Elephas maximus indicus: one gene and its partners. The protein of the gene in region 1 interacts with the protein of each later gene in a pairwise test. Links are inferred from orthologs where the notes say so. Each region holds a gene or a part of one and is shown in the gene's direction. Other genes may lie near its edges.

What was found. The genes of interacting proteins can lie anywhere in the genome.
Region 2: the proteins of REL (region 1) and GLYCTK interact in binary tests that used the Homo sapiens proteins (3 or more experiments, as listed by UniProt). The two-hybrid records come from large-scale screens. The link is inferred for Elephas maximus indicus from reciprocal best matches to the Homo sapiens genes REL and GLYCTK.
Region 3: the proteins of REL (region 1) and UBE2K interact in binary tests that used the Homo sapiens proteins (3 or more experiments, as listed by UniProt). The two-hybrid records come from large-scale screens. The link is inferred for Elephas maximus indicus from reciprocal best matches to the Homo sapiens genes REL and UBE2K.

Annotation. Positions count from the first base shown.
Region 1 is NC_064844.1:1,354,769-1,362,183, reverse strand, and holds the start of REL (proto-oncogene c-Rel), read left to right. Parts: upstream 1-4,412; 5' UTR 4,413-4,750; coding exon 4,751-4,760; intron 4,761-7,415. UniProt on the Homo sapiens protein: Proto-oncogene that may play a role in differentiation and lymphopoiesis.
Region 2 is NC_064838.1:56,510,770-56,517,593, forward strand, and holds the start of GLYCTK (glycerate kinase), read left to right. Parts: upstream 1-3,817; 5' UTR 3,818-3,877; intron 3,878-5,016; 5' UTR 5,017-5,150; intron 5,151-5,607; exon of another isoform or gene 5,608-5,786; intron 5,787-6,332; 5' UTR 6,333-6,371; coding exon 6,372-6,748; intron 6,749-6,824.
Region 3 is NC_064823.1:121,116,494-121,124,120, reverse strand, and holds the start of UBE2K (ubiquitin-conjugating enzyme E2 K), read left to right. Parts: upstream 1-4,620; 5' UTR 4,621-4,837; coding exon 4,838-4,900; intron 4,901-7,627. UniProt on the Homo sapiens protein: Accepts ubiquitin from the E1 complex and catalyzes its covalent attachment to other proteins. In vitro, in the presence or in the absence of BRCA1-BARD1 E3 ubiquitin-protein ligase complex, catalyzes the synthesis of 'Lys-48'-linked polyubiquitin chains.

The DNA of each region.
Region 1 (7,415 bases):
TTTTTAGAAAATCCCAGTTACCTAGCTTATCTTCCAGTGTTTGTATATTGTCAGTTATGGTTTGTATTCCATTTATGATGTATATTAGGGCCCCTGGCACTGACCCTATTTTTCTTTTTATCATCTTCATAGTTTTTGGTTTTATGTCTTTGGCCCATTTTGAATTAGCTTTTGTGTATGATGTGAGATATGAGTCCTGTTTCATTTTTTTTTTTCACAGATGGACATCCAGTTTTGCCAGTACATTTGTTAAAAAGACTGTCTTTTCCCCCATTTAATGGACTTTGGGCCTTTGTGAAAGATCAGGTGACTATAGGTAGATGGATTTACATCTGGGTTCTCAATTCTGTTCTTTGGTCAATGTGTCTGTCATTGTACCAGTACCAGGCTATTTTGACTACCACAGCTGTATAGTAGGTTCTGAGGTCAGGCAGTACGAGGCCTCCTACTTTGTAGTTCCTCCTCAATAATGCTTTATTGCTCCAGGGCCTCTTTCCTCTCCATATAAAGTTAATGTCTAGTTTTTCCATCTCATTAAAGCAAGCTGTTGGTATTTGGATCGGGATGCTGCTGATGGTTTTAAAGCACGAGAGTGATATGGTCAGAAGTGCGCTCATACAGATGACTCAAGCAACAATAGGTCTGAATGGTTTTGTGGGGGGGGGCAAAAATGTAGACAGACGTTAATAGGTGAGTATTCTAATAGTTCAGGTGGGGTATGATGATTTGAACAAGGGCAGTGGCAGTCACGAGACAACAGGAATGGCTTCCTATTTGACTGGGAAAATCAGCAGGATTTGGTGACTGGATGTCATGGGGGTAGGAATGATTTGAACAAGGGCAGTGACAGTAGTGAGAGCGAACGGGTTCCTCTTTGACTGGTAAAATCATGGGGTAGGTGAGAGGGTGGTGAGAACGAAAGGAGGCAGAGACGGCTCCAAAGTTTTAGCCTATGTTTCTGAGCCCAGAAAACACGAGAGGAAGAGCAGCTTTAGGAGAGAAGATGTTGGGTAGGCTGAGGCTGGGATGCCTACGGGACTTCTAGTGAATGTGTCTAGCAGACAACTGGATATAAGGGTTTGAAGCCCAAGGAGAGGTTCAGGCTGGATATATGGTCCTGGGTCCATGGGTAAAATCAGGAGAATGGATGAGATCACCTAGGGAACAGGTGCGGGTTCAGACGCTTAGGTATTATACATATTCCCTCCCATCCAACCTAACTTTTCCTACCTTTTTGTCTTCTTTTTCAAGACAGTATTGCTCATTGCTATTCCTTGGGCTATGTAAGAAATATTGTACTGACTGGTCTTCTGCAAAGGACTTCTTTAAAGGGTTCAAAAGCAAAAATGTGACCTTAAACACTAAGGTGCGCCTGACCCAAGCCATGGTGTTTTCAATTGCCTCCTATGCATGTGAAAGCTGGACAATGAATAAGGAAATCCAAAGAATTGATGCCTTTGAATTGTGGTGTTGGCAAAGAATATTGAATATACCATGGGCTGCCACAAGAACAAACAAATCTGTCTCGGAAGAAGTACAACCAGAATGCTCTTTAGAACAATGGTGAGACTGCGTCTTCCATACTTCGGGCGTGTTGTCAGCAGGGATCAGTCCCTGGAGGAGGACATCATGCTTGGCAAAGTACAGAGTAAGCAGAAAAGAGGAAGACCCTCAATGAGGTGGATTGACACAGTGGCTGTAACAATAAGCTCAAGCATAACAACGATTTTAAGGATGGCTCAGGATCGGGGAGTGTTTCCTTCTGTTGTGCACAGGGTCGCTAAGAGTCAGAACCGACTCAACAGCACCTAACAACTGACTGGTCTGATATTTATGACCACAAATCTCAAATGGGGATTCAATACAGCCAGGTATACCTTCTAAAACTTCACTCTCAGAGACCATGTTTTCAGTTTCTGCCCTTCACCTTATACTTCATTTTTTTTTTAAGGCAATCTGACTGAGTACCCCGTCTTGGTACCACCAAGTATACTGGGCTCTGTGCATCTGTAACCACCCACTCTGTCTTCCTTCTTTTACCCACAGAAGAAAAGTCTCCATTCCAATTGGTGGCCCTTCACCTGTGCCCTGGATTTCATCTTGTCTCTCTTCCTCATTCAAGTAATTAACCCCCTTTCTCTCAATCATCATCAATTTCTCCGTCACTACTGAATCTATGGAACCAACAATACCATTAAGTTCAAGGAACACCTAAAACCAATCAATTCCTGCAGGTGGAATATGAAAAAACACAAAGTATTTTCCATTCCTATCTGTCTCTCACCCTTCTAATCGATTCTTAAACATCTGTGCTCAGTCTGCCCTTACAGCTCTGACATTTGGGATTATGAGGATAAATAAAATCTAAGAAAAACTTTTAATTAAAAAACTTCCCTGGTGCCAAAAAAAACAGAGACCTTCCCCTCGCCCCCCTCTTCTTTAGAAAATTTGATTTGTAAATGCTTTCTCTAACTCTTTGAGAAATACGTGAATCCTTTTAATCCTCTTGGCCAGTTCTGATCCAAAGAAGGTCTTTCTTGGTGGCCTTGAAGGCATTTCTTTGAAATAGGAACATAAAGGAGGATAGCACCAAGTCTTCCTGTCTCTGTAGGAGTTTAAGCCAAAGGGGTTGGCTCCAAGATGTAACTCCCTATTGCTGAAACGATAGAAAAAGTTTTGTTTGCTTTTTTTTCCCCCTTTTGGATAAGACAATTAACAGGTATGTAATGGATTGTATTTGTCTGGCTATATAGAAGGGTGAAGTTTTTTTTTGTCTTTGCAGTCTCTTTAGCAGATTGCCTATGATGTACGTCACAGTGTGATTTAATATTTAGGATAAGACAATTAACAGGTATGTAATGGATTTTATCTGTCTGGCTATACAGAAGGGTGAAACCTTTTTGTCTTTGCAGTCTCTTCAGCAGATTGCCTATGATGCATGTCACAGTGTGATTTAATATTTACTCAGTAGTAAAAGTGCTACAGTCTTCTCTATTTTGTAGGAGGATACTGGGGTTGGCAGGTTTTAATTTTCCAAATAGGGTCCTCCCATTTAGAACACTTACTCTAGGCTGATACTCTCTATTCCAACTCCATACATTTGAGGCAATAAGAGAGAGAGGACTAACTCAGAACTGAAGCCACTCCTGAAGTCCACCTTTCAGGCCTATAAAACAAATAACACATGTGAGGAATGTGTTTCTTAGTTCAGTCAAGTATAGAGACCAAACGGGCAACACCTACCCAAAAGCAAAGAGGAGAAGGCAGGAAGGAACAGAACACTGGATGAATGGACATGGAGAGCCCAGAGTGGAAAGAGGGGGAGTACTGACACATTGTGGGGACTGCAATTAACATCACCAAACAACTGGCGTATAAATTTTTTGAATGAAAACTAATCTGCACTGTACACTTTCACCTAAAACACAATTTAAAATTAAAAAAAAAAAGGGGGGGGAGAGCGTGGAAAGAACATGAAGGTTTGGATTCAGACTACCTTAGGTATAAATTCTTTTTCCTTCTAGCAGCATTCTGGCCTTTGGACAAGTTACTTAACTCTCTGAACCCCGCACCTCATCTCTAAAACCAGGATACTACTACTTCACAGGTGAGATAAACTATCTGGCCCGGAGGAGGCTCTCAGCAAATGCGGGACACAAAGCTATACTGGATTCCTTCAACTCCGAATGGTTTTCCATCTCCCCTTCCTGCTGGGCCTCTCCGTTAAATCCCAGGATATGGGGTCCACCCAACGGCGACTCGTTTTTCGCTCAACTTCCACACGTAACGACGGGGCAACTGCTCCCCAGAGCACGAAATCGCGGCGCAGGACTCTGACTCGAAAGGTTTTCGTGGGTAAAACTCGTAAAGTCAACTCGGTGCCCTCGCAGCTTAAAGACAGAGGGGGAAGCCACACTGCGGGGGAGCCCCACGCAAACGAAGATCCCGCACGGAGAACAGAGGCGCCGGCCGCGGCCGCACCCCTCAGCGGCGCCTCAGGACGCGCCGCCTCACCGCCGGCCGGGGGCGGCCATTTGCATGTACGAAAGCGGGAAAAGGGGGAAGCACCGATCGAAAACCCCAGGCCCACCTCCCCCGAGCCGCCGGCCCGCCCCGAGCGCCCCGGCAGGCCGGCCTCCCGACGTCACCGCTCCCTCCCACCCGCCTGTGAACTTTAAACCACGCTCGGCAGAACAACCCGGAGGAGGGGGATTTCTCGGCGGCCCGCGGCCTCGGCGCGCGGCCGGCCCCTCCGCCTCCCGGCGTCCCCTGCGCTCCCCAGGATCCTGCGCTCCCGGCTCCCCCGGCCCGCAGCCCTTCGGGGGCGCATGCGCGGGGGCGGGCGCGCGCACGGGGCGCAGGGGCGTGCGGACGCGCGCGGGCCGCCGGAGGCCCCGCCCCCCGCCCCCGGAGGACGCGGTGGCGAGCGGCCTACGTCAGCGGCGGGAAATCCCCCTCCCGCCGGGCTGCCTGCCTCTCCGCGGGCGGGCGCTCGGCTCCCACCGCGCTCCGGCACCCTGGACGGGCGACGCCGGCTGACCGGAGCGCGAGAGCTAAGGAGGTGGGAAGGTGTGAGCCGCAGAGCCGAGGAGGGCGGGAAGGAGGAGGAGGGCCCGGGAGTGGCCAGGGAAACTGGGGTCCCGGCGGCAGAGGGCCGCGACCGGCTGACTGACTGACGCGCTCCCTGGCCGCGGCGCCGTCCGGCCCGGACGCTTGGAGCTGCCTGCGGGGCGGCGCGGTGAGCGGAACCATGGCCTCCGGTGAGTGTTCCCGGGGGGGAGCGAGGGCCGAGGTCCCCGCGGCAGGGTCGGGGGCAAAGGTCGCCCCGGGGCTGCTACCCGGGTTTCGGGGGCTCTCGGTCTGCCGGGCTTTGGCCGCGGCGCGTTCAGTCTTTAAAATCGCGTCAGCCGGCAAACCGTCCGCCCTTTGAAAAGTGACTTGCTTGAGGATTTGCGTGCGAAGTGACAAGCTCGCTCGGTAGTTGGGTCCCATTGTTGCAGCTGGAACCTTAGGAGTTGCCGGCGGCTTGGTGTTGGGATCGGGGCGGCGGTGGTCGGAAGGGAGACGGGGGTTCTCGGGGGGATTCGTGGTGAAATGGTGGCTCCTGCCTCAGAGCAGCAGCGGGGTGACCCCGTGTCGCCGGGAGCTGCCCCTCGGGTGACCCCACCCCCATGTCACCAGGTGACCCCACCCCATGGTGACCCCACCCCATGGTGACCCCACCCCATGGTGACCCCACCCCAGGTGACCCCTGTGTCGCAGGGAGCTGCCCCTCTGGTGACCCCACCCCATGGTGACCCCACCCCAGGTGACCCCTGTGTTGCAGGGAGCTGCCCCCCAGGTGACCTCACCTCCAGGTGACCCCACCCCCAGGTGATCCCCGTGTAGCCGGGAGCTGCCCCTCGGGTGACCCCACCCCGTGTCACCAGGTGACCCCCGTGTCGCCGGGAGCTGCCCTCCAGGTGACCTGACCCCCAGATGACCCCACCCCAGGTGACCCCCATGTCGCCGGGAGCTGCCCCTCAGGTGACCCCACCCCCAGGTGACCCCCGTGTCGCCGGGAGCTGCCACCCAGGTGACCCCACCCCAGGTGCCTCCACCCCAGGTGACCCCCGTGTCGCGGCGGAAAGGCGCCCCGAGAGCACATCCGAGGGCGAAGCCGGGTGCCCCCCTCCCGGTCGGCTTTCCCCTGGGGCAGGAGGGAAGGGGGTTCGGACCCCAAGCCCTTAAGCGACGGCTGGAGACAGACCAGCTCCTGCAGCTTCTGCAGGGCTCACCTCTCGGGAGTGGACGCCTGCCGGTAGCTTTGTGGGGCTGTGGGGTGGGCGAGGGCGTCTGCAGTGCAGGAACGGGGCCCGGGGGGCTGTGGGGTGGGCGAGGGCGTCTGCAGTGCAGGAACGGGGCCCGGGGGGCTGTGGGGTGGGCGAGGGCGTCTGCAGTATAGGAACGGGGTCCGGGGGGCTGTGGGGTGGGCGAGGGCGTCTGCAGTGCAGGAACGGGGTCCGGGGGGCTGTGGGGTGGGCGAGGGCGTCTGCCGTGCAGGAACGGGGTCCGGGGTGCTGTGGGGTGGGCGAGGGCGTCTGCCGTGCAGGAACGGGATCGGGGGGGCTGTGGGGTGGGCGAGGGCGTCTGCCGTGCAGGAACGGGGCCCGGGGGGCTGCGGGGTGGGCGAGGGCGTCTGCCGTGCAGGAACAGGGCCCGGGGGGCTGTGGGGTGGGCGAGGGCATCTGCCGTGCAGGAACGGGGTCCGGGGGGCTGCGGGGTGGGCGAGGGCGTCTGCCGTGCAGGAACTGGGTCCGGGGGGCTGTGGGGTGGGCGAGGGCATCTGCCGTGCAGGAACGGGGCCCAGGGGTCTGTGGGGTGGGCGAGGGCGTCTGCCGTGCAGCAACGGGATGGGGGGGTGCTGTGGGGTGGGCGAGGGCGTCTGCCGTGCAGGAACGGGGCCCGGGGGTCTGTGGGGTGGGCGAGGGCGTCTGCCGTGCAGCAACGGGATGGGGGGGGTGCTGTGGGGTGGGCGAGGGCGTCTGCCGTGCAGGAACGGGATGGGGGGGGTGCTGTGGGGTGGGCGAGGGCGTCTGCCGTGCAGGAACGGGATGGGGGGGTGCTGTGGGGTGGGCGAGGGCGTCTGCAGTGCAAGGCCAGGGGACTGGAGACCCGTTGGTTTACGCTTGACCCCGCCTCCCAACCCCCTGCTCCGTGACCCTAAGTCCAGGCTGATACTTAACAGAAGAGGAAGTAGAAAACTTAAAGGATCTTTTTAAAGGGTTGAGCAGAACAGTGCTGCAGCCACTACTCTAAGCTGAAAAGGAAATAGGGGTGTTTCATGTGACGTTTGATTTCAGTTTGTCTTTGTGGTTTTCTTGTGAGAACACAAATATGGTTTAAAACTCTCCACTTTCCCTTTACCCATTTCAGTGACCCCGAACTTTCAGTTAATGTTCTAAGTTCATAAACTCAAAGCACATTTAGATTAAAAGCACAAAGATGACTTTGAAATATTTGGTTAATTTATTGGTTATCAGAAAGATGTTTTATGGAAGTGGTGAAGAATGACAAGCATTACAAGGAAAAGGTCAGCCTGATGTCGATTTAATCAAACTTTACTAATTTACTGCATGAATATATTGTGATCTAACTCTTGCAAGAGAAAAAAATTAATTCTCTATAGAGTAGCATTCTAAGACCCACATGATTTTAAAATGTGATGGAATTTAAATTTGTTTAATGACATTATATCTTCTGCTGTTATGAGGACTAAGAATTCCCTAAACTGGAGGGAGGAAACTTTTAAAGTTTTGGAGGTTTGGAAGTTGAAAAGTGATTATCTTACTTTTTTTTTTTTTTTTAACATTTTCTCACGAGTTAGATTAAAATAGGACTATTTAAAATATGTTATTTTAAAATGTAATCCAGTT
Region 2 (6,824 bases), on another chromosome or scaffold:
GGGCATTTCTCAAGCTGAAAGAACTGAAGAAAAAATTCAAGCCTTCAGTTGCAATACTGCAGAACTCTGTGGGCAAAATATTGGACAATGCAGGAAGCATCAAAAGAGGACGGAAGGAATACACAGAGTCACTGCTCCAAAAAGAACTGGTCAACATTCAGCCATTTCAGGAAGTAGCATATGATCAAGAACCAATGGTAAGGAAGGAAGGGTACAAGCTGCATTGGTGAAAAATAAGCCTTCAGGAATTGATGGAATACCAATTGAGAAGTTTCAACAAATGGATGCAATGCTGGAGGTGCTCACTCATCTATGCCAAGAAATTTTTAAGACAGCTACCTGGCCAACTGACTGAAGAGATCCATATTTGTGCCCATTCCAAAGAAAGGTGATCCAACAGAATGTGGAAATTATCAAACAATTTTAATCATTAATATCACAAGCAAGTAAAATTTTGCTGAATATAATTCAAAAGCAGTTGCAGCAGTACCTTGAAAGAGAACTACCAGAAATTCAAGCCAGGTTCAGAAGAGGAAGTGGAATGAGGAACATCACTGCTGATGTCAGATGGATCTTGCTGAAAGCAGAGAATACCAGAAAGATGTTTACCTGTGTTTTATTGACTATGCAAAGGCATTTGAATGTGTGGATCATAACAATTATGGATAACATTGTAAAGAATGAGAATTCCACGCCACGTACTTAATTGTGCTCATGAAGAACCTGTACATAGACCAAGAGGCAGTCTTTCAGACAGAACGAAGGGATACTGCGTGGTTTAAAATCAGAAAAAGTGTGCATCAGGGTTGTATCCTTTCACCATACTTATTCAATCTGTATGTTGAGCAAATAATCTGAGAGGCTGGACTACATAAAAAAGAACTTGGTATCAGGATTGGAAGAAGACTCATTAACAACCTGCAATATGCAGATGACCCAACCTTGCTTGCCAAAAGTGAAGGGGACTTGAAGCACTTACTGATGAAGATCAAAGACTATAGCCTTCAGTATGGATTACGCCTCAACATAAATAAAACAAATATCCTCACAACTGGAACAATAAGCAACGCCATGCTAAACAGAGAAAATATTGAAGCCGTCAAGGATTTCATTTTACTTGGATCCATGATCAATGGCCACGGAAGCCGCAGTCAAGAAATCAAAGGACATATTGCACTGGGCAAATCTGCTGCCAAAGAGGGAATCCCTGGTGGTGTAGTGGTTAAGAGCTATGATTGCTAACCAAAAGGTCAGCAGTTTGAATCCATCAGGCACTCCTTGGAAACTCTATGGGGCAGTTCTATTCTGTCCTATAGGGTCGCTATGAGTTGGAATCGACTCGACAGCAACGGGTTTGGTTTTGTTTTTTTGGCTGCCAAACGTCTCTTTAAAATGTTAAAAAGCAAAGATGTCACTTTGAGGACTAAGGCTTGGCTGACCCAAGCAATGGTATTTTCGATCGCCTCATATGCGTATGAAAAGCTGAAGGATAAATAAGGAAGACAGAGGAAGAATTGATGCCTTTTAATTATGATATTGTTGAAGAGTATTGAATATGCCATGTACTGACAGAAAAACAAACAAATCTTTCTTAGAAGTACAACCAGAACGCTCCTTAGAAGCAAGGATAGCGAGACTTCATCTCATGTATTTGGACATGTTATCAGGAGAGCCCTTGGAGAAGGACATCATGCTTGGCAGAGGGTCAGCAAAAGAGAGGGAGACTCTCCACAAAATGCATTGACACAGTGGCTGCAACAATGAGCTCAAGCATAACAACGACTGCTAGGATGGTGCAGGACTGGGCAGTGTTTCGTTCTATTGTACGTGGGGTTGCTATGAGTTGCAACCGACTTGATTGCACCTAACAACAACAATAACAAACTAGTGTCTTGGGGTCTTACGTGTGTGCTATCTCATAAGTAAGTTTATGCCTGACAAACCTGAGCATTTCTCTACTTATTTTAAAATAAAATCCCCATGAGGTATCATGTCCATTATCAAGATAATGTGTAAGCATTCTGGTAAGCCAAATCGTTGCCTCAGGTCTAAATTCCACTGCTTCATGATGCCCTCTGCTTCCACCTACCCCCATCTCTTTTTCTTCTGTGAAATACTTTCTACCTAGCAGCAGGGTCTACAGTACTTTTCAGCTGAGCACTTTGCTGCCCTCCTGTTAATTACAAAAAAAGAAAAACAATCCAGGTTCTATTTTTGTCTGATCATGTGCAGGGCAATAGAAATACAAATACAAATTAGACCAATTCACCCCCTTCCAGGAGCTCACAGTCCAGTGGTCATTTAAATCTTGCTGTTGTCAAAGGCATCTTGTGAGTAGCTGTGGGGATGGGGGTGGCAGAATAAAAAATGGGTGCAATTAGTATCCTGTTTATAGTCTGAGAAAATAGCACTGGCACAGTAGATGCTATTTGTTTATGAACGTTTCTGGCACTAAATACTGAGAGAGGTGCTCACTATCTCCACTCCCACCAGCAGTGTGGGTATGTAATCACAAAAGCAAAATTTCCCAAGTAAATGTACCAGTTCTTATTCATCCCAGCATCTACTGCATTTGGCCCACATAGAAGCCACCCAAGAAATGTCTTTTGAATGATGGAAGAATTAACAATTGGATGGATGACGACAGATTGTTATAAGCAAGGAAAAACCATGAAATTTCAAATAGCTATAATCTCCTCCATCTCTAAAAAAGGTTGGTAGATCCTCCTGAAGGTGCCTTTGTTTTGCTGAGGAGGGAAGGCATTTGGGAGAGACTGGTAGGGAAAGAAAAACTCAGAGAGCAAGTTCATGACAAGGGCATGGTTTGGAGACCTATGAGATGTGGCAGCTGTGGACAGAAGCAGGATGAGGAGAAAGACGTTTCAAGGAGATTTTCAGGAAGTCTGTTGTGTAACTCCCTCCTCCACCTCTCCAAGAAAAGTCAGTAAAAACATACAGTGTACTCATCTGTGTTTCTGGAGTCTGGTAGGGACTTGTCTTTTGACTATGGGAAGGCATAAAGCCCGGCTCAGGGCGGACACAGGGGGAAAGCAAGGACAGCTAGGGGGGCCCAAGCTCATTCGTGTTCACAGAGTTTGCGGTAGGTTCGAGGATCAAGTAACAGAACTCTCTTGCTGAGACAGAGCTGTCTGTGATGGCCCGTGGGGGTAGCAATGAGTTGTAGGATTATAACGGTAGGGAAGGGCAGCGATGACTTTGCAAGAAGGGGTGTGATCCTCAGTCCGTTTGCTCAGCCCAGTGCCTGGCACCTAACAGGAGCTCAGGACGTATTTACTGACTGATTGGATTGTACAGGATAAAGCAGGGGACAGATTATAGCAATTTGGGGAGGTGGGAGTTATTACTCCCATCGTAAAGATGAAGAAAGGAGCCCTGGTGGCGCAAGGTTAAGCACTGGGCTGCTAACCAAAAGGTTAGCGGTTTGAACCCACCCAGCAGATCTGTGGGCGAAAAGATCCGGCGATCTGCTCCTAGAAAACCCTGTGGTGGTAGTTCGGCTCTGTCACGTGAAGTCGCTATGAAATCAACCCAACCGCGCCCAACGACAACAGAAATGGAGAAACCGAGGCCTGAAGGTGACACCACCCAGGTCTTACAGCGGGTCTGGGGCGGAGATGCCCCAACTCCCGCTCCTGAGTCTGCTCCATCAGGACCCAAGTGCAGGGCCTGGCGTGGCAGCGCCGACTCAGGTACACAACCCCGAACGTTTTCTGACTTCCTGGCGCCCAGTCGGGTCGAAGCGCACACTGGCAACGCCCCAACCCGCCTTCATACCCTCACTTCCGGGTTCCGCTCCGTCCGCCCACGGGTACTTCCGGTTCCTGCGTTAGGTGACGCGGCGTGGAGCCGTGGGGCGGTGAGTCCGCGTCGCGAGGGCCCGCGTGGCTCCCGGAAGCGCGCCCTCGTCAGGGCGACGCCTGGTCGGGGTGGCAGTGGGCCGTTATCCTTCGGGTCATCACCGACCGTTCCCCACAACCATTTCCCTCGGAGGTCGGCGCTCTCAGCTCGTGGGTGACGTCACTTCCGGGGGGCGGATTCGGGCAGGTGCAGGCCGGCCAGCCCCACCTAGTGGCCGGGAGGAGTCAAGGCGGGTTTTCTCATTTCAGGGTTTCGTGATGGAGAGTCCAGGAGTTTAGGAAAGACCGTATAGGGCACTGGATCGACAGATTTAGCAAATAAAAATACAGGACGTCTAGTTAAATTTGAATTTAATATGAGCAACGAGTAATTTTAGTGTAACTATGTCCCAGTTGGAAACCCTGGTGGCGTAGCGGTTAAGAGCTATGGCTGCTAACCAAAAGGTCAGCGATCAGTTCAAATCCACCAGGTGCTCCTTGGAAACTCTATAGGGCAGTTCTATTCTGTCCTATAGGGTCGCTATGAGTCGGAATCGACTCGACAGCAGTGGGATAATGGGATGTCCCAGTTATTGCATGGGACAACATAACCAAAAAACCAAACCCATTGCAGTGGATGGAGTCTGTTGTGACTCATGACGACTTCATGTGTTTATAGAGCAGAACTGCTCCACAGGGTTTTCTTGTAATTTTTAAGGAACCAGATAGCTAGGCCTTTCTCCCACAGCACCGCAGGGTGCATTTGAACTGTCAACCTTTAGGTCAGTAGTCAAGTGCAAACTGTGCCACCCAGGAACCAGCTTATAAACTTACACTAAGAAATTACTCGTTTTTTTTTTTTTACTGTAAAAAAATAACTCATTTATTTGAAATTCACATTTAACTTGGCGTCCTGTGTTTTATTTGGCAACCCTAGGCCTTAGTCCCGACCCCCACCCCACCCCCCACCTTGTTACTGGATACTTTGCTCTGGTAGTAGCAAGGCTGGAAACTTGCCCACTCCCTCAAAACCAAGTGTTGCTAGATATTAAAACTGCTTTAGTACCATGTATAATGGGCGAGCCCCAGTGGTCCCCCAGCAAAAGCTGGATCCCATTTTTAGCACTCCCATGGCCATGCCTTCTGTTCCCTTTCACAGAGAAGGCTGAAGACCATGCAGCCTAAGTGGCCCAGGGCCGGACGCTGCCAGGTTACTTGGGTGTGAGATGAACTGACGTTTGGGTTCCAGATTTTCTGTGCAGAGCCCTAGGCTGTCAGGGGGAGAGGAGCACAGTAAGTAGTCTTAATCTCATCCTACCTCTCGTTTTGCAGGTGAGGCTCAGCCACTCAGGACAGCTGTGGTAGAGCTGGAATCCTGACCCCAGCCTCCTTCCCCTGCTCAGTCCACACTTGCTGATACAGTCAGTATGCAGCATTTATGGGAGGCATTTATTAAAGTAGATGCCTTTTTACGGATGAGCTCTTTGGGGGTTCATTGTCCCTAAACCCTTCTGCAGTCTCCTGACCTTCACCTTAGGGCTTCTTTAGCTTTTCCCCTGCCCAGTGGGGAAAATGGCTGTCTGGGCTCAAATGTGGTAGTCTGGCCTTTGCTGGCTCCAGCCACTGGGCCCTTACGGTAGTGGGTGGTGTGACCCAGGACTTGTTTTGTTATTTCAGAGCCAAAGGGGATGTTCTTGGCAGGGGTGGGTCTGGCCAGCTATGTGGGTAAAAGGGCGTCCTTCCCTATCCTGCATGGCATGGTTTCTCGTGGTGCCTTGGGACTTCGTAAGGTTCCACCCTGAGCCAGATTTTGCTGTCATTCCTGATTTGAGCTGGAACTCTTGCTGGACTGGCCCTGAGTGCTGGGATTCCTAAGGCCGCACACTCTGAGGGTGTAATTTGGGCCTGACCTGGCCTGGTGGTGCCCTGGTGAGCCTGCAGCCTCCCCACAGATACCCAGCCTTCCCAGGAACCCCAACCCAGTCCCCTGAGCTAATGAAATACAGCAGGCTAGAGGTCACTGGGCCTAAGATCAGTTGGGGGGACAACCAGTAGCTTTCCGGCAGCAGTGCCAGAAAGGGGTATTGCTGAGTGAGGGCTCAGAAGGGCAGGGGGTGGGAAAGGGGCGAGACAGGAGCCCACAGACAGGAATCTGTGGATGATTAACTCAGCCACAGGGCCAACCCAGGAAGAGGGCTCAGCTAACAGGACCTTCGGACTCGGGCAGAGCTCCCAGAGGGGAGCATGTGGTCTACAGAAGAGGAGGACATGGCTGGGTGGCAGGGCTGGGCTCTGAGGCCCAGAGTGAGATCAGGCAGCTATGGGCTTCAGGAAGTCTCCTTGGGCTGGCAGATGGCCTATGCCTGCAGCAGCAGCTATGGGGTCCACCAGTCCTGAGCCTTCAGAGAGTGGGTGTGGGGGGGCCTCCTGTCTCTGGTCCTGCAACAGCCCTGACTGGTCTTTTCTTCCCCTTAGGCAGCTATGGGCGCCAGGCGGTGCTGAGAGCAGTGGGGCATGGCTGCAACCCTGCAGGTCATACCCCGCCTGGCCCGAGCCCCCTTGTGCCCACTCCCCTGGTGGGGCCCAGTGGCCCGGCTGGCCAGCGGCATGGCCCTACCGGAGCAGGCGCAGCAACTGTTTGAGAGTGCTGTTGGTGCTGTACTGCCGGGCCCCATGCTACACCGGGTCCTGACCTTGGACCCTACCGGCAGGCAGTTGAAGGTGCGGGACCGGAGCTTTCAGCTGCGGCACAACCTCTACCTCGTGGGCTTTGGCAAGGCTGTGCTGGGCATGGCGGCTGCCACCGAGGAGCTCCTGGGCCAGCATCTCGTGCAGGGTGTGATCAGTGTTCCCAAGGGGATCCGAGCTGCCATGGAGCATGCTGACAAGCAGTAAGGAGTCGCAGGGGGCTGCTCCCCACTACCCATCTGGGGGAAACCTGGCCCCAGACCCAGGCTGGATCAGGGC
Region 3 (7,627 bases), on another chromosome or scaffold:
AGTTAGGACTGAGTATTTTTTTAAAAAAGAGTTAAATGAGAGGCGTGGGTAGAATAGGCAACAGTGAGGGAAGCAGAGAGAGGAAAAATATATCAAAAAGTTGGCAAAACCCAAGGTCAGGAAAGGGTTGTAGCGAAAAAAGAATTTCTTTGCATTTGGAAGAGCAGGAAATTTGAATCTGAAGAGCAGTAATAGGAGCTTAGCAGGGTCTACGAAAAGGAGATTTGAACACTTCAAATGTTAGTAATTATTATCAAGGGTTAGCAAAGCACTAGTATGCCTTGCCATATTTACTTGAATCAACACATCAAAACTTTTAGGAACAACCAGATTAACTTTCCTCCATTTGACCTAAAATCATTTTTATAGCCTTGACACATATCATGTTTACGTAAATTACATATTCTGAAAGCCTGTGACTTCTTAGATCCAAGCCTAGTGTCTGAGCAGTACAGTATACTCAAATGTACTCAGGACCCCTTTGTACTCTGAAAAATTATTGAGGATTCCAAAGAGCTTTTGTTTACATGGCTTATATCTATCAATATTTATTGCATTAAAAATAAAAACTGAGAAATGTAATTTATTAATTTTATTATAATAGAATTATAATAAATCCATTACATATTCACATAAATAATATTAAAAAATAACTGTTTTCCAAAACAAAACCTCTTTAAGGACTGGCTTACTAGCATACTGATGGATTCTCCTATCTGCTTCTGCTTTCAATATATTGCAGTATGTTTGGTTGAAGTATAAGAAGAAAACCTAACCTTACACAGATATTTAGGTGGATAAGGGAAGAATATTTTAATAGCTTTTTCAGATAATTGTGGATATTCTTCTTTAATATTACACCCAAACTAGACAAATGGCAGTTTCATAAAGGTTAGTTGCAATGTGGAATCTGAAATGTTGTCCGTGTGTACTCTATTACATTAAAATTCATTGGTCTGTCTTGAACCTTGGGATCTTTTTTACCCATGCATGATTTTGTAACACCATGCATTGATCATTTAGAAAATATTGCTTCACTGTCTTGTACAGAGCTTCCAAATGTTGACACATCCCATTGTATAACAGCAAACAATCACATCTGTTAATATCACCATCAATATCATCAGCCATATCTTTAAGTATTGGGAAGTTCATGGTGGCAGACATGTTTTCCAAAATTCTGTCACTTGAAAGCTTGAATTTTATCATGGACGACACATACTGTCAGGTGTTTTTCTTGAAGCGACAGGCTCACCTCACTGATTTTTGAGAAAATGTCTGCTAAATACCCAAGTTGTAATAAACATACTTTGCCTGAGTCATTATGTCACGTAAAAATAAAACCTGTTGCTGTCTATTTGATTCCGACTCATAGCGACCCTATAGGACAGAGTAGAACTGCCCCACAGAGTTTCCAAGGACGCGTGGTGGATTTGAACTGCCGACCTTCTGGTTAACAGCTGTAACTCTTAACCACTACGGTACCAGGGTTTCCAAGTAAAAACAGTGTTTCATAAAAAAAAAAAATGGCTAGTTCAGCTCGTAACTCAGCAAATTGCCCAAGTGTCTTACCTTGTACTTTGTTACAATGCAGACATTCTGTACGTATACTTCCCATTTTGTTGCACAGAATATTAAGAAGATATTTACTCAAATGTTGAGATTTAATAACATTTACTGCTTCCCCAAAGACATTCTAAAGTGAAACTGGCTTTTTTTTTTTTTTAACCATGGGTATGTGACATTGAAGAATTACCACTAATATAGAAATTTTACAGCTGTTTTGCCCACCACTGCTTTTGCATCATCACTGCACATGTCAGTACAGTGAAAAGGCAAATAATGTTTTAGTACAGTTTTGACAATAGTTTTGGCATGGCAGACCCCCTGAAAACATCTCAGGGACCCTCAGGGGTCTGCAGACTTTGAGATTAATTTTATTTCCCCCACCCCCACTAGAATGTAAATTTCACAAAGGCAGGGTTTTTCTTTTTTTCTTGTTCACAGATATTTCTTCAGGGTCTAGATCACACCTGGCACATAGGAGACACTCACTAAATTTTTGTTTAATTAATTAATTAGTAAATGAAGTAATCAATCAGACCTAGGTAGTAGTAAAAAGCTTATGATCTGTATTACTGGAAACACTTTTTTAAAAAGTTACTTCATTGAATAGGTAAAATATACAACAGTGCACATGGTGAAAAGTCTCCTACCTTGTCTTCTCCAAGGTGCTTAAATTCCTTTCTCGGAGATAACCACTGTTGTCAGTTTTTTACGTATCTTTCCATCAATACTGTATGGATTCACGAACATCAAATACACAAGTTATTCCTTTCCCCTCTCACACATAAGATGGCGTACTATACACAATATGGACTTCCCGGTGCCTCTTTTAAACATAAATTTTTTATTTAGTAATAATTTTAGATTTACTGAAAAGTTTTAAAGAAGTGTACAGAGATTCCTGTATACATTTTACCCAGCTTCCTCTAATGTTAACATGGTACACAACAATGGTACCATGTCAAAACTAAGAAATCAACATTGGAACAATACTATTAACTAAATTATAGACTTTATTCAGCTTTCACCAGTTTTTCCATTAATTTTTTTTGGTTCTAGGATCCAATCCAGGATATCTCATTGCATTTGGCACGGTGCTTTTTTCACTTAAAATGTATCTTGAATATTGTCTCATATTAGTTAATATGTAGCTGCCTCATTCTCTGGAAGGACTGTAAAATGAATCCCTAGAAGTGGAACTGCAGAGTCAATGATTATGTGCATTTAAAAATTACTAAGTTCCCTTCCCCCAAGGAAATTACTATACCCTTCTAACTGGTTTCTCTGTGATTTGAATATACCAAGTTTCTTTGAAGTTCCAACATTGGGATTGGCAACTGAATGAGGGATATAAAAGTAAAGTATTCAAAATTTTTGCACACTTCAAAGTGATATTTTTTAGTTCTGGCACAAACACACATAGCACTGCATGATTTACGTTATTATTGTACTGTGACCCACTTATATATTTGGTTTCTTTCAAGACCACTAGGGGGCTCTGCTGGAAGAGTTTTGTAATTTATGCCAGTCCACCTAGGAAAATGATGTCCTGAGATGATGTTTTGAACACTTATTTTACTTGAAAGAGATCATCTTAATCCACCTTCCATGTTTTGCAGATGAGGAAAACGAGGTTGACCATGATCTTACAGCCAGGCATGAGGAGAGCTGGAATAAAACAACCTCCTCTTGGTTCCTGGGGCAGGAATTCAAGAAATTCCCTTAACACCTTAACTAAATGATTCACCTCTAGTCGTGATTTCTTTTTCTGCTCCCACATTTTTAATAACTTTTGCAATATTTTCATAACAGGGTACTTTACTAATTGGTTAGGTGAAGGAAGTGCATGAAATATAAACTTTTAAATAACACCTTTTATCACTTATTCCAAAATGTCATATTCAAAATACCTCTCAGCATCAAAAGTATATTATTAACTATAATCCCTAGCAACCCCTTTTAAATTGCCTTTCGAACTTCCTTTCCACTAAAAACATTTTACTGTTATCTTTATTCATTCATTCAGTCAATATTTATTGAGTGCCAATTAATGCCAGATCAGTTGCAGGCTTTAGGCTTATAGAAGTAAAAGCCCTCCTTTCCATCCCTTCAGGAGCTATTATTTCTCCAATTTCCACTTTATTTTTGGCATGCCTTAGTTCAGTGATTCTCAGTTTGGTCCCTGAACCAGCAGCATCAACATCATCTGGGAGTTTTTTAAAAATGCAAATTATCAGGCTCGCCCTGTACTCCAGGGACGAGGGCCAGCGATCTGTGTTTTAACGATCTCTCCAAGCTCCAAGGGATTTTGACGCATGCTTAAGTTTGAAAACCATCTTTTCAGTTCCACAGCTCGGTATTAATTATCTAAATAGATCAAAGATCAGTATCTGTTGATGTATTTTCTGCTGTGTATATTCTCAACAACAACAAAAAGTAAAATAAGTAAAAAAAAAAAAAAAATCGACATCTGACGTCTAAGCTTACCTCAGGCCTCTCCATGGAGTATCCGTCTCAAATACACCTAATGGAACCAGCAAGGACGATACTTAAAGCAATGATTTCTAGTTCCGATGGGAATATTAGAGGCACTTTATGGTGTCCCTGTTTTCAGAACAACAACGGACCGCAGTGCATTTTCTGGGGCCTTACCAACTGAAAATGGGCCGGACTGAATTCTAGGATAGTGTTTTCGTACACTAGACATAGTCGGGCACAGTAAGCCTGTGGGTTGGGGCTCTAGTCTGGGTCAGGCTGAGTAAGGGCGTGGGTCCAGGTCGAGTAGAGAGAACCGCGTGGGTCCTGCCGGGTTGGGTTCGAGCCTTCGGCCAGAGGCCAGGAACTGAAAGCCACGACCACACCATTCTGATTCGCAGCGCGGCGGAGTCGCAGGGACTCGGAAAAGCCGAGTGTGCGTCAGGCAGCGCGGAAACCGCACCCGCCCGGCCCAGACTCCGACGGGGCGGAGTCAGGCGACCGCAGCTCCAGCGGAGAGACGCGCGGCGCCGCGGCTGAGGCTACACCCGGAGCGGCTGCGCCGCCCGGCCGGGTCAGCATCGTGCGCATGCGCGGACCCGGCGCCATTTTGGTGGCCGGGCGCGGAGGTGATTCCACACTGAGGAGAGCGCGGCGGCTGAGGTGGCAGTGGCAGCGTTCCTGTGCTCGGGTCTGAATCGCCGGAGGAGGAGGCAGTGGAGGAAGAGGTGGCGGCGGTGGCGTTGGTCGTAGCGGTGGCGGAGGAGGCGGGTACGAATCAGCTGCGGGCGGAGACATGGCCAACATCGCGGTGCAGCGAATCAAGCGGGAGTTCAAGGAAGTGCTGAAGAGCGAGGAGGTCAGAAATGAACTCCCGGCCATCCCCCACCTCAGCCCAGGGTGGGAGGGCCCTTCCAGCGGCCACCCCGATATCCCCTGTAACCCCTGGGTGGCCCGCCCCGCGGCCGCCCTACTGCCTGTGGGGAAGCAGTAGCTTTCCCCTCCTTCCGCCGCCTTCCTCTCCCCTCTCAGGGCCCAAGGATGGACGGTCTTCCCTGCGGGAGGTCTGGGGACGAACACGTTTTGGGGAGCAGGTTAGAGAAGAGGTGCGCTTCTCAGAGGGGTGTGAGCCGTGGAGAGACCCCCGAGGCGGTAGCAGCAGCTGGAAGTGTGGCTGCGGGTGGGGAGGGTGCAGGCCGAGCCTGAGAAAACCCGGGAAGTGGCATGGGGGAAGGGAAAAGGTGGTAACTGGATCCGAGGGAGCTGTGCTGCTCGTAGGCCCACACTTTTAAGGGTATTCTGGGTTATCGCCTGTCAGGCCTTCAGCGCCCTTTCCTTAGGGAAGGAGCGATGAGAGCTCCTAGGTATTGATGAAAGGAGAAAGACAGGCATTCAGAGTTACTCCCTCTTAGTTGGGTGTTCGAAGAGAAGGGGAGATACAATGACATTATTTAAGTAGGGAATATAAGGGAATTTCACCTGAGATAGGAAATTAACTCCAAATTATATCACCTCACTTAGACCCCCAATTTCTGGACCCTTTATTTATTGGCATCTAAAGGTTTCTGACTGGGTAAATGCCAGTTGTTTGGTGTATTAAAGGTATTTAAATATTTTTAGCCAGGAACAAATAGTAGGGGGTATGAACAGCTTATTTCAAAATATTGTTTACAAGTTACAGGTCAGTCTCTTCTAAGACAATGCTGTCTGTTGACTCTGTTGTGTTGTACCATGAAACTTCATTATGATGTCCCTCATAGTTAACCTGAATCTTACTTTTGAAAAATAGCCCTATTAAAAACATGAGATTTCAAAAACAGGAACAAAACAAGAAAACCCATGAGATTTCATCAGATTAATATGTTGTTGTATCTCTTTATTAAGGTGAGTAGAAGGTTTATCCTGACATGTATCTAAAGTGATTAAAAAATAATTTATCTCAAGCTGTGCTTGAGACCTATGGAGTTTTAGATACTTTCATGCTGCACACAATTATTTATATAAGAGATTGAAAACATTATAGTAATTTGACTCAAAACTATGCCAGTATCAGTTTTTCATACCAAATTAACAAGAATAGCAAGTTGTTTTCCCCACGTGGATTTAACAGAGGAAGATCAAAAAGTAATACTGAAAATGATTTTTTTCTTAATGTCACATCCCATTGTTGAGTATATTGTTGCTGTTTGTTTTTTTTTCTCTCATTGTCTTATGTTCGTACTTTGATAATGTCAACAACGATTTGTGAAATTCAGCATTCTAAGTATGTGATGAGTAATTGACTTAAGTCTGATATCACCTGGGATTTCTTTGTGTTTACTGGGTCTGTGATAAAAAAAAAAATAGTCATGTATTTTTCCAGGTACACATGGAGAAAATTATTTAAAATTATTCAAAAATGACAAATGCCAGCAGATTTAATGAACGTAGGTAGTATATATTTTTTTAGTACATAAGTAATGATCTGCCTTAAAGAGCATGTGTGTGAACTCTAACCCCTATATTTGTTCAAGTGCCAAAACTCTGAATGGAAGGATGACTTTGTATTTTTATGGTACAGTTTGGAAATAGAGTCATAAATGTCTACTGATACACAGTGAAACAATGATTCTGACTTTTTATTTTATAAAATGTATTCCAGAATAGTTGACATACATTAATGAAAAATTGCAGCTAATATTGTTGCCAGCAGCCTAAAACGTACTTTTTTATAAGATTGTACAAATTTGAAGCTTCTAATGCCTTATTTTCCATTACATAAAAGTGGTAAGGTTTACTGCTCTAGTAATTCATGTTGGTTGGTCACTTTGTATGAGGTGACTTTTCACCATGATATTCTTAGTACTTAGGTTGCCAGAAATACTTGTATTGCTCTACTAATGCATACTTTTAAAATAGTACTTCTCTTTTATATGTAAGGGATGATGAAGCCTTGCTTCAAATAAGTGTCATAGTGTTTCAGAGGAAGAAAACAGGAAATGCAGACAGACAAAGGAGTTTTTTTTTTTTTTTGAGAATAGTACCCTTGCAAATCTGAAAGGATACTTCTTCCAGGAAAGTTAGTTGCAAAGAACATTTAGGGAAGGGTCAGAAGATTTAATCTTGTAATAAATATAACCAATAAATAGCTTTATTTTTACTGGCATTTTTATGTTGATTATTATCAACTCGTCAAAGGACTTGTATAATCCATGTATTACTTCCTTTTTACTTTGTGAGTCAATGTAGTATTTTCAGTAGCTGGTGAAGTAGTCAAGTATTTATCAAGTCATTTTATGCAGATCTGCAGTTTACCAAAGTTTATTTCATGTGCTCGTTTACTAAGAGTATTGGTTAATATAAGATTTTTTTTGGAGGGGAGGCTTTTAAGTGACTTTAAAGATAATTGATGTTTGCTGAATTCTGGTCATAAGAGGTTATAAACAGCTATTCTTAGAGTGTGTTTTTAGTTTAAATACAACCTCAAAGATAAACCTAAAAAGCAAGATGCAGAATAGTGTGTAGGAGGCCACCATTTATGTCAAAAGGGAGAAATATGTGTATTTGCTTATACAAGTGAAAGAATTCATGAGAAATTGGTAACATT